Macaca mulatta: one gene and its partner. The protein of the gene in region 1 interacts with the protein of each later gene in a pairwise test. Links are inferred from orthologs where the notes say so. Each region holds a gene or a part of one and is shown in the gene's direction. Other genes may lie near its edges.

Evidence for each region. The genes of interacting proteins can lie anywhere in the genome.
Region 2: the proteins of REL (region 1) and EIF4EBP1 interact in binary tests that used the Homo sapiens proteins (3 or more experiments, as listed by UniProt). The two-hybrid records come from large-scale screens. The link is inferred for Macaca mulatta from reciprocal best matches to the Homo sapiens genes REL and EIF4EBP1.

The regions. Positions count from the first base shown.
Region 1 is NC_133418.1:63,857,193-63,864,075, reverse strand, and holds part of REL (proto-oncogene c-Rel), read left to right. Parts: intron 1-264; coding exon 265-333; intron 334-1,439; coding exon 1,440-2,212; 3' UTR 2,213-6,883. UniProt on the Homo sapiens protein: Proto-oncogene that may play a role in differentiation and lymphopoiesis.
Region 2 is NC_133413.1:39,970,960-39,978,379, forward strand, and holds the start of EIF4EBP1 (eukaryotic translation initiation factor 4E-binding protein 1), read left to right. Parts: upstream 1-2,329; 5' UTR 2,330-2,459; coding exon 2,460-2,604; intron 2,605-7,420. UniProt on the Homo sapiens protein: Repressor of translation initiation that regulates EIF4E activity by preventing its assembly into the eIF4F complex: hypophosphorylated form competes with EIF4G1/EIF4G3 and strongly binds to EIF4E, leading to repress translation.

The DNA.
Region 1 (6,883 bases):
TTCAACAATTCTGCCTCAGCCTTCCGGGTAACTGAGATTACAGGTGTGTGCCACCACACCCGGCTAATTTTTGTATTTTTAGTAGAAACGGGGTTTTGCCTTGTTGACCAGGATGGTCTTGAACTCCTGACCTCAGGTGATCCACCCACCTCGGCCTCCCAAAGTGCAGGTGGGAGCCACCACTCCCTGCCAGTTTTTCAGATTTTAACTGATAATGTTATTTTTCAGATGCCATTTAATAATGGAAAAACTTTATCCTAACAGTTAATTTTCCTGAGAGACCAAGACCTGGTCTCCTCGGTTCAATTGGAGAAGGAAGATACTTCAAAAAAGGTATTTTATTTCCTATAGCATATTTCTTGTGATCAGAAAGACCAGTGCTGTGCACAATATATTGGAATTCTGTTTTTAGGAATGAATAACTGCTTCTTTGAAAATTTTCTCTCCAAATTTTTCATGCTTTCAGTATAGAATAAATTAAGCATGACTTCTGAAGGTTGTGTTAGAAACCAATCGTGTTTTTGGAATTTATTGTTCAAGAAATTACATGTCATTCATATGGTAGTGATTTTATTAGTTACATTGCGTCATGGAAAAAAATGTTATTGATTTGGTTAGTTACCTATTTTTATAAATAAAATTTTACTGGAACATGGCTATGAATATTTGATTAAATATTATCTCTAAACTGCTTTTTTTTTTATAACACTATGGTAACAGGGTTGAATAGTTCGAACAGAGGCTGTATATAGCTCACAAAGCCTAAAATATTTACAATCTGACTTTTTACAGAAAAAAAAAATTACCAATTCCTAGTTTAGATAATTCAACCAAGGGCTAATTAGAAGTCTTTTTCCCCCATGTACATTCTTAAATCAGTGCTTTTTCCTGGTTTAGTTCATAAAGCATTTGTATAATATGTAAATAAATACAGAATTAATTTTTTCTGTAATTTTTTCTGACTGTGAATTTTATAGTCTCTTAGGGTTCTGTCGTAATATATCTTAAAAGTTGTATGTATTTTCTTATCCCTAATGAGTGTTTTCTCCATCCTTCCATTTTCTCCTAAGAGATGATTTTGGCTATTTGGAGTCCCATTAATTGTAATTCTAATATTTATCTTTTAGTTTTCAAAAATACCTTTATAGAGCCTCAGAAACTAGATTTTCATATTTAACTGGAGTGACATTACATATGCCAAAGTAACTTGCAAAAATCATTTTACCTGTATTTGTAAAATGGTATGTATGTTACAGAATTTCATTTTGGATTCGTGTAATAATTTTAGTGCTTTTAACACTTTTTTATTTGAAATGTTACATTGGTTTCCCTGACATTTTTCTTTATATATATTTGTGTGCTTATGCAATTTTAATTTAGAAATACTTTTTATAATTTTGTTCCTTTTAATTTTGTAAAACAAATTTTTCCTCCCACAGAACCAAACTTGTTTTCTCATGATGCAGTTGTGAGAGAAATGCCTACAGGGGTTTCAAGTCAAGCAGAATCCTACTATCCCTCACCTGGGCCCATCTCAAGTGGATTGTCACATCATGCCTCAATGACACCTCTTCCTTCTTCAAGCTGGTCATCAGTGGCCCACCCCACCCCACGCTCAGGCAATACAAACCCACTGAGTAGTTTTTCAACAGGGACACTTCCTTCTAATTCGCAAGGTATCCCACCATTCCTGAGAATACCTATTGGGAATGATTTAAATGCTTCTAACGCTTGCATTTATAACAATGCCGATGACATAGTTGGAATGGAAGCGTCATCCATGCCACCAGCAGACTTATATGGTATTTCTGATCACAACATGCTGTCTAATTGTTCTGTGAATATGATGGCAACCAGCAATGATAGCATGGAAGAGACGGATAATCCAAGACTTCTGAGCATGAATCTTGAAAACCCCTCATGTAATTCAGTGTTAGACCCAAGAGACTTGAGACAGCTCCATCAGATGTCCTCTTCCAGTATGTCGGCAGGTGCCAATTCCAATACTACTGTTTTTGTTTCACAATCAGATGCATTTGAGGGATCTGACTTCAGTTGTGCAGATAACAGCATGATAAATGAGTCGGGCCCATCAAACAGTACTAATCCAAACAGTCATAGTTTTGTTCAAGATAGTCAGTATTCAGGTATTGGCAGTATGCAAAATGAGCAATTGAGTGACTCTTTTCCATATGAATTTTTTCAAGTATAACTTGCAAGATTTAAATCCTTTTAAATCTTGATACCACCTGTATAGATGCAGCGTTTTGTATTTGTCTAACTGGGAATATAATACTGTATTTATACTGTATATATAATACTGACTGAGAAGAATAATACTGTATTTGAGAATATAAAAAACTTTTTTCAGGGAAGAAGCATACAACTTTGGACATAGTGAATACAAAATTGGAAGCTGTCATAAAAGGACAACTCAGAGGCCAGGTGCAGGACCTCACGCCTGTAATCCTAGCACTCTGGGAGGCCGAGGCGGGTGGATCACTTGAGACCAGGAATTCGAGACCAGCCTGGCCAACATGGTGAAACCCCGTCTCTACTAAAAATACAAAAATTAGCTGAGCATGGTGGTACGCACCTGTACTGTCAGCTACTTGGGAGCCTGAGGCACAATAATTGCTTGAACCCAGGAAGCGGAGGTTGCAGTGAGCTGAGATCACACCACCGCACTCTAGCGTGGGTGACAGAGTGAGACTCTGTCTCAAAAAAAAAAAAAATGCTTTTTTATATTTCTTTTTATAATGTTTTAATGTATTCTTAAATTTCAAGCAAATTTAAGATAAAACTTGTAATGGCTATGCCATTGAAAAACTTAATTTCTTATTTTTGAGGCCCATGGGCCAAGGTAACCCCTAAGGGGTTTTCTTAGGCTTCTTGGGGCTTCTTAGATTTGTATGTGTATCAAAATATCTTTAAAATGTTAAGTTGGGCAGAAGGCAGTTGAGGTGAGCTTTCAAGGTATGGGAGGTTTTCTACATTTTATACTATTTCAGTCTATGCCTTAAAAGTTGCTTATGATTTTAGCTTTACACTCATATTTTTTAAGGGGAAGAAGTTTCCTTGGACCACTCTCCTTTCTTAGATGTTCTAACTCCCCGTGATCTCATAAAACTGCCTATTTGACATCTCTATCTAGAAATCTAATTAAAGCTCACACTCAGCGTATCTGAAACTGAATTCTTGGTCTTCCCTCCCAAACTTGCTTCTCCTTCAGTCTTCCCCAACTCAGTAAATGGCAATGCCATACTTCTAGTTGCTCAGGCCAAAAACCCTGACGTCATCCTTGATTCTTCTTTTAGATCCCATATCCAATCCATTAGCAAATCTAGTAGACCCTACCTTCATAATATATCTAAAGCTGACCACTTCTTTTGATCTCTACTATTAACGCCCTATTCCAAGCCACCATCATCTCTTCCCTGGATTGAAGCTATCATCTACAAAAATTCTCCTTATATCCTTGCATCCCTACAGTCTGTTCCCCATAAAGTAGCCAGAATGATTATTTTTAAAACAAGTCAACTCCTACCATTCATCTGCTCAAAACCATCCACTCAGAGCAGTCAAAGTTCTTAAAAGTTGCAGGCCTAGACTCCCTGTCCTACTTCAGGTACTACCATGTCCCACCTCGTCATGCAGCTCCAGGCACCTTGGCCTCAGTGCTCCTCAAAGCATCAAGTATGCACATGCCTTGGACTCTTTGTATTCCCTCTGCCTTGAATGTTCTTCTCCCAGAAAAATGCATAGTTCACTCTTTTACATCCTTCAGGTGTCACTCCACTGTTACCTGAGCAGGTCTTCCTTGAATATATACATCAGCATTTGCTGTCCCCCCTGCTTTATGTATGTCCATAGCACTCACCATGATCTGACTTTACTAAGCATTTATTCATTTACTGTTTGTTTTCCCATACTGAAATATTAACTTTCTAAGGACAGAAATTTTTGTGCTTTATTGTTGAATCTCCAATTTGTAGAAAAATGGCTACCTTATATTAAACACTCAGAAAATATTTATTGAACATTAAAAGTAATACTAATAGAACTTTAGTTTTTGAAAGAAATAGTAACTTTAATTATAAGATGTATATGATTTTTGCAGTTTTACTTAGTGTGACATTGGGTTTATAAGAATCATGTACATTCAAGTCCAGGAATAATAATGGTCATCCAAATTGTTCAAAAGGAAAATAATCCCAGTGGCAAAATGATGGTAGAATTTGGGTAATCTTTTTTTTCCTTTTATGAAAGGAGATTTTATTGAAGGTAAAATATCTGTTCATTGAGAATCTCTAAATCCATGTTTTGACATTGTCAAGCTCACCATAACTTCCAGATTGAGTAACACTTATAACACATTTCCTTTTCAAAGTGCAAGATTTTTAAAAGAGACTTGTCACATATTCATTTGGCTGGTCTCAAATGGTGAGCTGAATGCTGGGTAATCTCTGCTGGCTCCTTCATCAGATTTAAAATTCTCAGTGTTTCCTAGTTGTTTCTGCATGCTTTATTTGAGTTGTTGTAGCTGTAACATGACACTTTATTTGCCCTTTCTATTTCCTAACTTTTGGTAATTCTGGCATTTAGAAACCTTTTACTTGTGCTTCAAAACATAGTTATATTTTAGGAGTTTTCATTTGATATGTAATTATTTATTTTGCCCTTTTATTTCTCAAAGACATTGTAAGGGTTAATTAGATCATTATATTTTATTACAGATTAAAGTTGGGCAGTAATCTTAATTGTGATGGAATTATCATTATGCTAAGTAATTAACTTATTCAAGACCTAGTTTGTTACTACAACTAGAACCTGCCCTAAATGTTGAATATCTTCCTAGCAAGAAGCAGTCTGTCATTTTACTTACACGATGTCTAACCAAACCATAACTTTACATGAATTAGTTGTTTTGGTCAAATTGAGGAATGTATGAATGCCATAAAAACAAAAATTCTCAGTTAAATGATACTGGGAAATAGGGAAGAGAGCAAGATAAGGCTTGGGGTCAGGATGGTTCAGGAAGGAAAAACAAAAAGAATTAAAGAACCTAAGTACCAGTAATATTCCTCAGAAATTATTATTTCAAAAAGAAATATTTCTGTATTATAAATTTTTCATGAGCAGCAGTTGTGAAATCTCACAAGAATCATAGACTTCAGTAAAAAAGGTAGAAATTTTTTTTTATTTTTTATTTAAAAATATAAATTAAAATAAATTTTTAAAATCATAAGCACATAAATAGAACTTACCAGGGAGAAAGAAAAACCTGAAGGCACAATTTCTTTTCTGTTCAAAATATGAACCCAGGATGGCTCTAGATGGTGATGGATAGGTGGTGAGGTGTTTTTTGTTTTTTTTTTTTAACACAGAATCTCATAGTTTTAGATTAATTAGCACCAATCAGTTTAAACACTGACTGTTAGAATAGCTATATGGATTTTTTTTAAACTAAATAAGCTTTGGCTACTTAGTATAAGTAAGTATAAGCAGAATTAAGGTTCTGCTACACTGTGTTTAGAATATTCCCAATGGATTTTTCATTTTTCAGGTGCTATTTTTTGATCATAGACTTTAATTTAAAATGAATTTGGCAACATTTCTCCTCTATCTCTACATGTATTTATCCTTTCCCCTGCTCTTTTAACACCCTTTTAGTTTCTAAGGCACTTTTCTGAACTCTACTTGTGCACTGGATCCCTCCTCCTTTCTCTCCCAGGCTGTGTTTAAAATCCTTACATCACCAATTAGTGCTTCCTTTCTTTGTATAAACATGGTAAATGTCTTCATTAGCCTAAAAGGAAAGACCAAATAAAACCTTTCCTACCACCTGGATGCCTTTGCATCCTGACTTCTGAAATGCCTCCAGCCTCCGTTTTCTCCCTTCCCAGTTATTCCTTAGCCCAGTGATCTCTATCTTTAGCTCCTACAATTTTCTTAGGATATTCTGGGAAAGATAAGCGGAGACTGCCCGTCTTGTCAAGTCTAGTGTCTTTTTATCTGTCCTCACACTGCTTGACCTATTTATAACCTCCTATACTTCCCTGTTTGGATATTCGTCTGGGTTTTCTGTGGTAGACAAGATTCCTCCCTGAGATTTATTTCCCATGAGTCTCAACCTCTCCCCTCAGTTGGTGCTATTATTCCCCCTGGATGATCTTATCAGAGCCCACAGGTTCGGTTTTCTTTCATGCTACCTGAATGCCCTGGTAAACTGGCTCCCTCTCTTCTTTACCTTCCATAATGGCATTATCATTTACCACGCCACCCAAGAAGCTTACTAGGACCTCAAAGTATTGTATTCTTTTTCTCCGTCACACTCATACTTAATCATCAAGTCCTTTTGAGCTTGTCTCCTCTTGCATCTGTCCCTTCTTCATTCCTGCTGCTTTCTTAGTAAAGGCCTTCATTCTTTTTTCCCTAGTAATAATCTTTTCCATATGTTCCAGTTAAAATACCACGTTCTCCCTATACCTTATTACATAGTTAGCATTCCTTGAAAAAAGGCAATTCTTTCAGGCCTCCATACCTTTAACATGTTACCCACTCTGCTTCTGCTCTTCTGGAACTAGAACACTCATCCTTGAAGACTGGGCTTCTCTGTGAAGGTTGGTCCTGCCTCCTCAGTTGAGGTGAAGCTTTGTACATGCCTGTATTATGGACATCCTTTTATTTAAGTGTTTGTCTCATTCGTCATTGGGACTCCAGCACCCAGCATAGTCCCTAGTATACTAGTTGGTGCTGAATAAATAGTAGCTATTATTAGAGAAGGAAGGGTGGAATTGACATAGGAGCGATTATTGCAATGTATATGGAAATGATTTTTAAAGGGAATGGTAATGATTTTCTGGCAGGAAAAGCAGCAATG
Region 2 (7,420 bases), on another chromosome or scaffold:
TTTTTTTTGAGACGGAGTCTCGCTGTGTCGCCCAGGCTGGAGTGCAGTGGCTGGATCTCAGCTCACTGCAATCTCTGCCTCCCGGGTTTTTACGCCATTCTCCTGCCTCAGCCTGCCGAGTAGCCGGGACTACAGGCGCCCGCCACCTCGCCCGGCTAGTTTTTTGTATTTTTTAGTAGAGACGGGGTTTCACCGTGTTAGCCAGGATGGTCTCGAACTCCTGACCTCGTGATCCGCCCGTCTCGGCCTCCCAAAGTGCTGGGATTACAGGCTTGAGCCACCGCGCCCGGCCTAATTTTTTTTTTTCTTTTGAGACGGGGTCTTGCTCTGATACCAGGCTGCAGTGCAGTGGTGTGATCTCGGCTCACTGCAACCTCCACCTCCCAGGTTCAAGCGATTCTCCTGCCTCAGCCTCCCGAGTAAGCTGGAACTACAGGCACGCACCACCATGCCCAGCTAATTTTTTTTGTATTTTTAGTAGACACAGGGTTTCACCATGTTGTCCAGGATGGTCTCGATCTCTTGACCTCGTGATCTGCCCACCTCGGCCTCCCAAAGTGTTGGGATTACAGGCGTAAGCCACTGCACCTGGCCCAAAATTAATTTTTTAATGTAATTTTCTGAACCCAATATACTCAAAATATTATCAGTTCAACATACAATCAATATAGAAACAAATTATTCAGGCATTTTACATTATTTTTTTCATGCTAAGTCTTTGAAATATGGTGTGTATGTTAAACTTGTGACAGTTTGGACTGGCCACATTTGGAGTGCTCAATGTGCACCTGTAGCTGGCGGCTACTGTCTTAAGCCACTGTAGGCCTAAAGTTTCCCTCAAAAGTGAGACCAAATTCAACAGGTCTCCCTATCTCAGGCCTTGCCCTCCTTGGCCCATCCTGAAACTCCACTGGCTACTAGTTATCTTTCAAAAAAAACAACTCAAATCATGTCATCCCCCTGCTTAAAAGATCTCTGGGCTGGACGCGGTGACTCACGCCTGTAATCCCAGCACTTTGGGAGGCCGAGGCGGGTGGATCACGAGGTTAGGAGATCGACACCAACACCATCCTGGCTAACACGGTGAAATCCCATCTCTACTAAAAATACAAAAAATTAGCTGGGCGCAGTGGCGGGCGCCTGTAGTCCCAGCTACTCGGGAGGCTGAGGCAGGAGAATGGCGTGAACCCGGGAGGCAGAGCTTGCAGTGAGCCAAGATCGCGCCACTGCACTCCAGCCTTAAAAAAAAAAAAAAAAAAAAAAAAAATCTCTGATCTCTCCTGCCCTTCTAAGACAAAGTCCAAGCACTTTGGCATGATTTGAAAAACTCAATGACCTGACCCCAATTTCCTTTTTAAAAAATTATTATATATTTTTTAGAGATAGGGTCTCTCACTAAGGGTGGAGTGCAGTGGTGTGATCACACTCACTGGAGCCTCAAACTCCTGAGCTCAAGCATCCTCCAGCTCAGCTTCCTGAGTAGTGGGGATTACAGGTGCACCACCCAATTTCCCTTTTAAACTTTCTTCACCCTCTTCCCCACAACATGTGCCCACAATGCTAAGAACTTCTCAAACCCAACAAGCTTTTCCATCCTCGGTCCTTCTTGCATTTTTCTCTCTCCCCTTGAACATCCCTCCATCCATCCATCCAAGGAGTACCTACTAAATCTCAGGCAGTGGGGTGGGCGTTGGACCCAATTCAGGAGTTATCGGGAAACCTCTTTGACAAACTCTTACCCCTCTCCTACGCCCTTCCCTCTCCCCCTACCCCCGCGCCCCTAGCTCTAAATTTAACTCCCAGGACGCCGCTGGTTGGTTCACTCCTCCTCCCACACCCTGTCTAAAGGCCGGGAACAGAATTGTTAGCCCCACCATCCCCACCCCCATCAAGGTCAAGAAATTGAGGCGGGGGAGGGGGTGAGCATGACCACTCAATCCCCACTTTCTCATCTGAGGAACTAAGGCACGAAACAGGGAGTGCCGGAGGGTACACCGGGCCTGATGTACTAAGGCAGAAACCGGGCCTTCCTGCAGTGGGCCGGGTCAGCTCGGATCTCCGCGCGGTCCTGAGTCGCCGCCCCCAACCCAGCCAAGGATTAATTTAGGCGAGCTATCCCGCCCACCACCCCCACCCCCATCCCTGCCAACGTGGCGGGGAGGGACACAGGACAGAGGGGCAGTCGCTGCGGGGCGGCGCCGGCGCCCGTGCGGAAGAGCCCGTGAGCAGGCGTGAGTGGGTCGGGGGGCTGCGGGGGATCCCACGTGGAAGCAACGTCCTGGAGCTGGGTGGGGCTGCGGCGCGGACTACAAATCCCAGGGGCGTGGGCGGGAGAGGCGGAAGGGGCGTCCTGGGGCGGGGCGGGACGGGGCGAGGCTGAGCGGGACCCGGCTAGGCGGAGCGAGGCTGGAGGCGCGGGAGGGCAGCGAGAGGTTCGCTGGTGCAGCGCACAGGAGACCATGTCCGGGGGCAGCAGCTGCAGCCAGACCCCAAGTCGGGCCATCCCCGCCACTCGCCGGGTGGTGCTCGGCGACGGCGTGCAGCTCCCGCCCGGGGACTACAGCACGACCCCCGGCGGCACACTCTTCAGCACCACCCCGGGAGGTAGGCGCGGGCTTGGGGACGCAGCTGGCCGGCTCCTGGGCGGGCGGGAGGATCGGGAATCGCGGATTGGACCGGGTGTCCAGGCTCAAGGGCGCTGTGACTGGAAAGAACGGAGAAGGGGCATCGGGGAGATATCGAGGGTCATGGAAGTGGCCGCCCGTCTGCCCTCTTGAGTGCGTCGTCCAGACCCAGGTTGCAAACTGCCCCGTTCGTTTCCTCTTTCTGTTAGGTGTCAGACAGCTGACACCTAACAAACACGCACTCTTCCAGGACTGCCACATGCCGAGCTGTGCTGCCCCTTGTGGGTGTTGGGGGCGCTCCCGAGGCAGGATAGGGCGGAGTCAGGGTGGCCCACGATCCAGGAGAGGCCTGGCCTGGTGTTTTTATGGGATGGGTATTATCTGTTGGGATAAATGATTCCTGCAGGGCCCTTTTTCCTTTCCGAAGCACCCCTAGTTTTGCGTTGGACACGCGCGCTCTGACGGAGGTTTGGATGTGGGGGTGCTCTCCTGCTCCAGCAGAGCCTCCCGGGCACCTGTGGCACGTTCCCCATTTTCGCGAGTGGGATCTCCGCGGGGGGGCCTGGCGCCACGGGCAGGGCTGTGCAGAAAAACACGTTCTTCTGTCCGGGGAGAGGAGGAGGCACCGTGTGACCTCCCTGGGAGAGGATGAGGAAGAGGAAGCTGAGCTGGCACGGGTGCGGGGGTGGGGGGGCAGCCTCAGGCTGCCCTCAGGAGCCTGGCATTCCCTCCCAGCCCCGCAACCCCAGCGCACAGACGCTGATGAAACCTACGCGCCTGTTTGCATGATGAAACAAATCCTCGTGGCTCTCCACTCCCCTCCCATCCTCGTACTGCCCCCACCCCTTTGACTTCTCTCCCTTCAATCTCCTCCACGCTGCTTTCCAAACTACTCGAAAACGCGACAGATCCTGGCGCTTCACTCGGTGGCGGGCAGGGGCCACATGCTTATTTTCTCAGGCAGCTGTCCTACCAGCAGCATGCACGGCCGGATCCGAGGTCCTCAGCTATTTGATCCAAAACATACACTGTTAGAACGGTTAGGGATCTTGTCCAGCCCTGCCGCCTTATTCTACAGAGCCGGGCATTGAGGCCCCAGAGCTTGAACACGTGTCTATTGCCCATTGTCACACCGTTTTCCCAGATTGGACAAGAAATAGCAACCAGGCAGAGAAGGGAGGAATGCTTCATTTTCTATTAGAAATGAGCCAAGGAAAAGCTCGCAGGGGCTCTTATTGCCACTCCCGACTCATCCTCTTTCCCTTGCTGGGTCTTTTGTAGTTCATGCTGTTCTCCTTTGTCCCTGTCACAATGGTCTACCAGGACAATTCCTGACAATTTTGGACTTCTTTCAACTGAGGGTGTAAGTGTCTGCTGGATTTGTTCAGGGTGGGCCCTGAGGCTGGCCTGAAGGCACAGGTAGCCCTTTTTTGCGCCTTTTATTGCTGGATTGTTGGGTCAAATTGGAAGCCACAGATACTGTTTATAGGCACTTCTGGCACGGGTACCAAGGTTCACACCTGTAATCTCAGCATTTTGGGGAGTCGAGGCAGGAGAATTGCTTGAGGCCAGGAGTTCAAGACCAGCCTGGGCAACATAGTGAGACTCCATCTCTACAAAAAAAAAAAAAAAAAAAAAAAAAAAAAAAAAAGATGTCCTAGCTATTACAGAGGCTGCGGCCAGAGGGTCGCTTGAGCCCAGGAGTTGGAGGCTGTAGTGAGCTATGATTGACCACTGCATTCCAGCCTGGGTGACAGAGCGAGACCCTGTCTCTAAAATAAATAATAAACATAAAATATATGAACTTTGAATCCACTTTTCACTTTGGGTTGGGAAGTGGGGAGTAGGCAGGGGGCTGACAGACCACAGCAAATCCCCCTCCTTTTGAAGGTCTTTTTTTTTTTTTTTTTTTTTTTTTTTTGAGACGGAGTCTCGCTCTGTCACCCAGGCTGGAGTGCAGTGGCCGGATCTCAGCTCACTGCAAGCTCCGCCTCCCGGGTTCACGCCATTCTCCTGCCTCAGCCTCCCGAGTAGCTGGGACTACAGGCGCCTGCCACCTCGCCCGGCTAAGTTTTTGTATTTTTAGTAGAGACGGGGTTTCACTGTGTTACCCAGGATGGTCTCGATCTCCTGACCTCGTGATCCGCCCGTCTCGGCCTCCCAAAGTGCTGGGATTACAGGCTTGAGCCACCGCGCCCGGCCGAAGGTCTTTAACAGTAGGGGGAGTGGGGAAGGGGCTTCTGCATCAGGGCATAGCATGTTTCTGAGATCACTGGAAGAAGCTAGCAGTGCCAGGAGCCTAAAGCCAGCTCACTCTTTGGGTCATCCAGGTACAGCTCACAGTCCCTAAGCCAGGGAAACCCGGCTTACTTCCACTAAAGTCAAGCAAGCCTGGTCGGCCTCGATTAGCCAAGGTGTGAACTCTTCCTCCAAAGCCCACCTCAGCCCACCTCTGCTAGGGCAGAGAAGCTGAAATGGTCACATCGCAGGACCCTTTTGCTCCAGAGCAGAATACTGCGTCTCAACCTTCCAGGTGCTTGAGGATAACTGGGGGCTTCATTTAAGTGCATATTCTGATTCTGTAGGTGGGGGTGGGGACTAGATTCAGCATTTCTTTCTTTTTTCTTTCTTTCTTTTTTTTTTTTTTTTTTGAGAAGGGTCTCACTCTGTCACCTAGGCTGGAGTGCAATGGCATGATCTCAGCTCACAGCAACCTCCACCTCCCGGGGTCAAGCGATCCTCCCACCTCAGCCTCCCCAATAGCTGGGACAACAGGCACACGCCACTCATGCCCAGCTAATTTTTGTATTTTTTGGCAGAGACGGGGATTTCACCGTGTTGGCCAGGCTGGTCTCAAACTCCTGACCTCAAGTGATCTGCCTGCCTCGGCCTTCCAGAGTGCTGGGATTACAGGCATGAGTCACCATGCCCAGCCTAGATTCATCATTTCTAACTAGCTCTCAGTGATTGGTGCATATACCACACTCTGAGTACTCAGGAATTAGTGGAACGTAACTTCCCTCACCTTTCAGATCTCTGGAGTCTGGCGGAAAAAAAAAAAAAAATGATGACTCCATCCAGGTAAACCTTGAGGTTGGGCTCAGCATCTGTCTCTAAATCATGGTGTGGAGAGTCAGGCTTTTGATAGAGTGTCTGTATGGCTGTCTGCACCTGCTTACTTATAGGGACTGTCAGCTTCTCAGGAAAAACCACTGGAGTAAGTGCCCACCAGTCACTCCTGCTGGGAATGGCCATCAAGTGATCGTCCCTGGAGGGAAAGAAGCAGAGTTGGGTTGCGCTATCTCCGTTCCTGTGACTGCAGTTTGCTTTCCTTTTTTTTTTTTTTTTTTCCCTGAGACAGGGTCTCACTGTGTCACCCAGGCTGGAGTACAGTAACATGAACATAGCTCACTGCAGTCTCAAACTCCTGGGCTCAAGTGATCCTCCTGCCTCAGCCTTGCAAGTAGCTGGGACTATAGGCACGTGCCCCCATACCCTGCTAAGTTTTTGATTTTTTTGTAGAGGCAGGGTCTCTCTGTATTGCCCAGGCTGGCCTCAGACTCCTGGGTTCAAGCAATCCTCCCACCTCAGCCTCCCAAACTGCTGGGATTATAGGCATGAGTCACCTCACCCGGCCTCCAGTTTGCTTTCCATGGTCATTAACCATTTGTACACTGAGGCTCTGCTGAGGTTAGCTGTCCGGAGTACTTAAGAGAATTTTGCTGAAGGGAGTGTCATGTATGAATATTTGAGTCTTTGGAGTCTTAGAAATATCCAGCAACACCATAAACAACCCATTAGCCAGCAGAACCTTTGAGTGGATCAGAAAGAAACTTTCCCTTATCGATCTCCACATTCCCAGCTCCGTGTTGCATGTTTGACTCTGAAGCCTACATACAGGCTTGGGTGGCAGTTATGCCAAAGACTCGTACCTGGATAAGGTGAATCCGAGGTGAGCAGGTAGAGCTGCAGGTGTTAATGGCACCCTGTTTGGTTAAGCAAACAAGGTCTGTGCCTGGGAAGCTTACCTTGGAGCAGCTCCCAAGTCTTTGGACATGAAAGAGGCGGTGCTGGGAAGAGGGGGGACGTAGGCTGGGCATCGAAGCCAGAGCACAGCCCATGTCCTGAGGCCTTAGTCACATAGAGGGAAGAAGTTATTATTAAGGATGGGTTAAAAGAGCTTGGACATTAATGCAGTGAGGGAGAAACAATGGACCCTCTTCTCACATTTACCTGAGCTTCCTTTTAAAGTGTTTGAAGGAGCCAGGTGCAGTGGCTCGCACCTGTAATCCCAGCTACTAGGAAGGCTGAAGCAGGAAAATTACTCAAGGCCAGGAGTTCAAGACCAGCCTGAGCAACATAATGAGACTGTAGGTATAAATTAAATAAATAAAATTTTTAAAGTGTTGGAAGCATTCCACACTGTGTCCCTTATTAAAGATTTGGTGGGGGGGGGTTCCTGATGTAGAGCACCCCGGACTCCTTCCAATCCCCAGACTCCTTTTTATTGTTGTTGTTGTTATTATTATTATTATTTTGAAATAGAGGTTCGCTCTTATTACCCAGGCTGGAGCGTAGGTTGCAGTGGTGTGATCTTGGCTCACTGCAACCTGCGCCTCCTGGGTTCAAGCGATTCTCCTGCCTCAGCCTCCCAAGTAGCTGGGATTACAGGCATTTGCCACCACACATGGCTAATTTTTGTATTTTTTTTTTTTTTTGAGGCGGAGTCTCGCTCTGTCGCCCAGGCTGGAGTGCAGTGGCGCGATCTCGGCTCACTGCAAGCTCCGCCTCCCAGG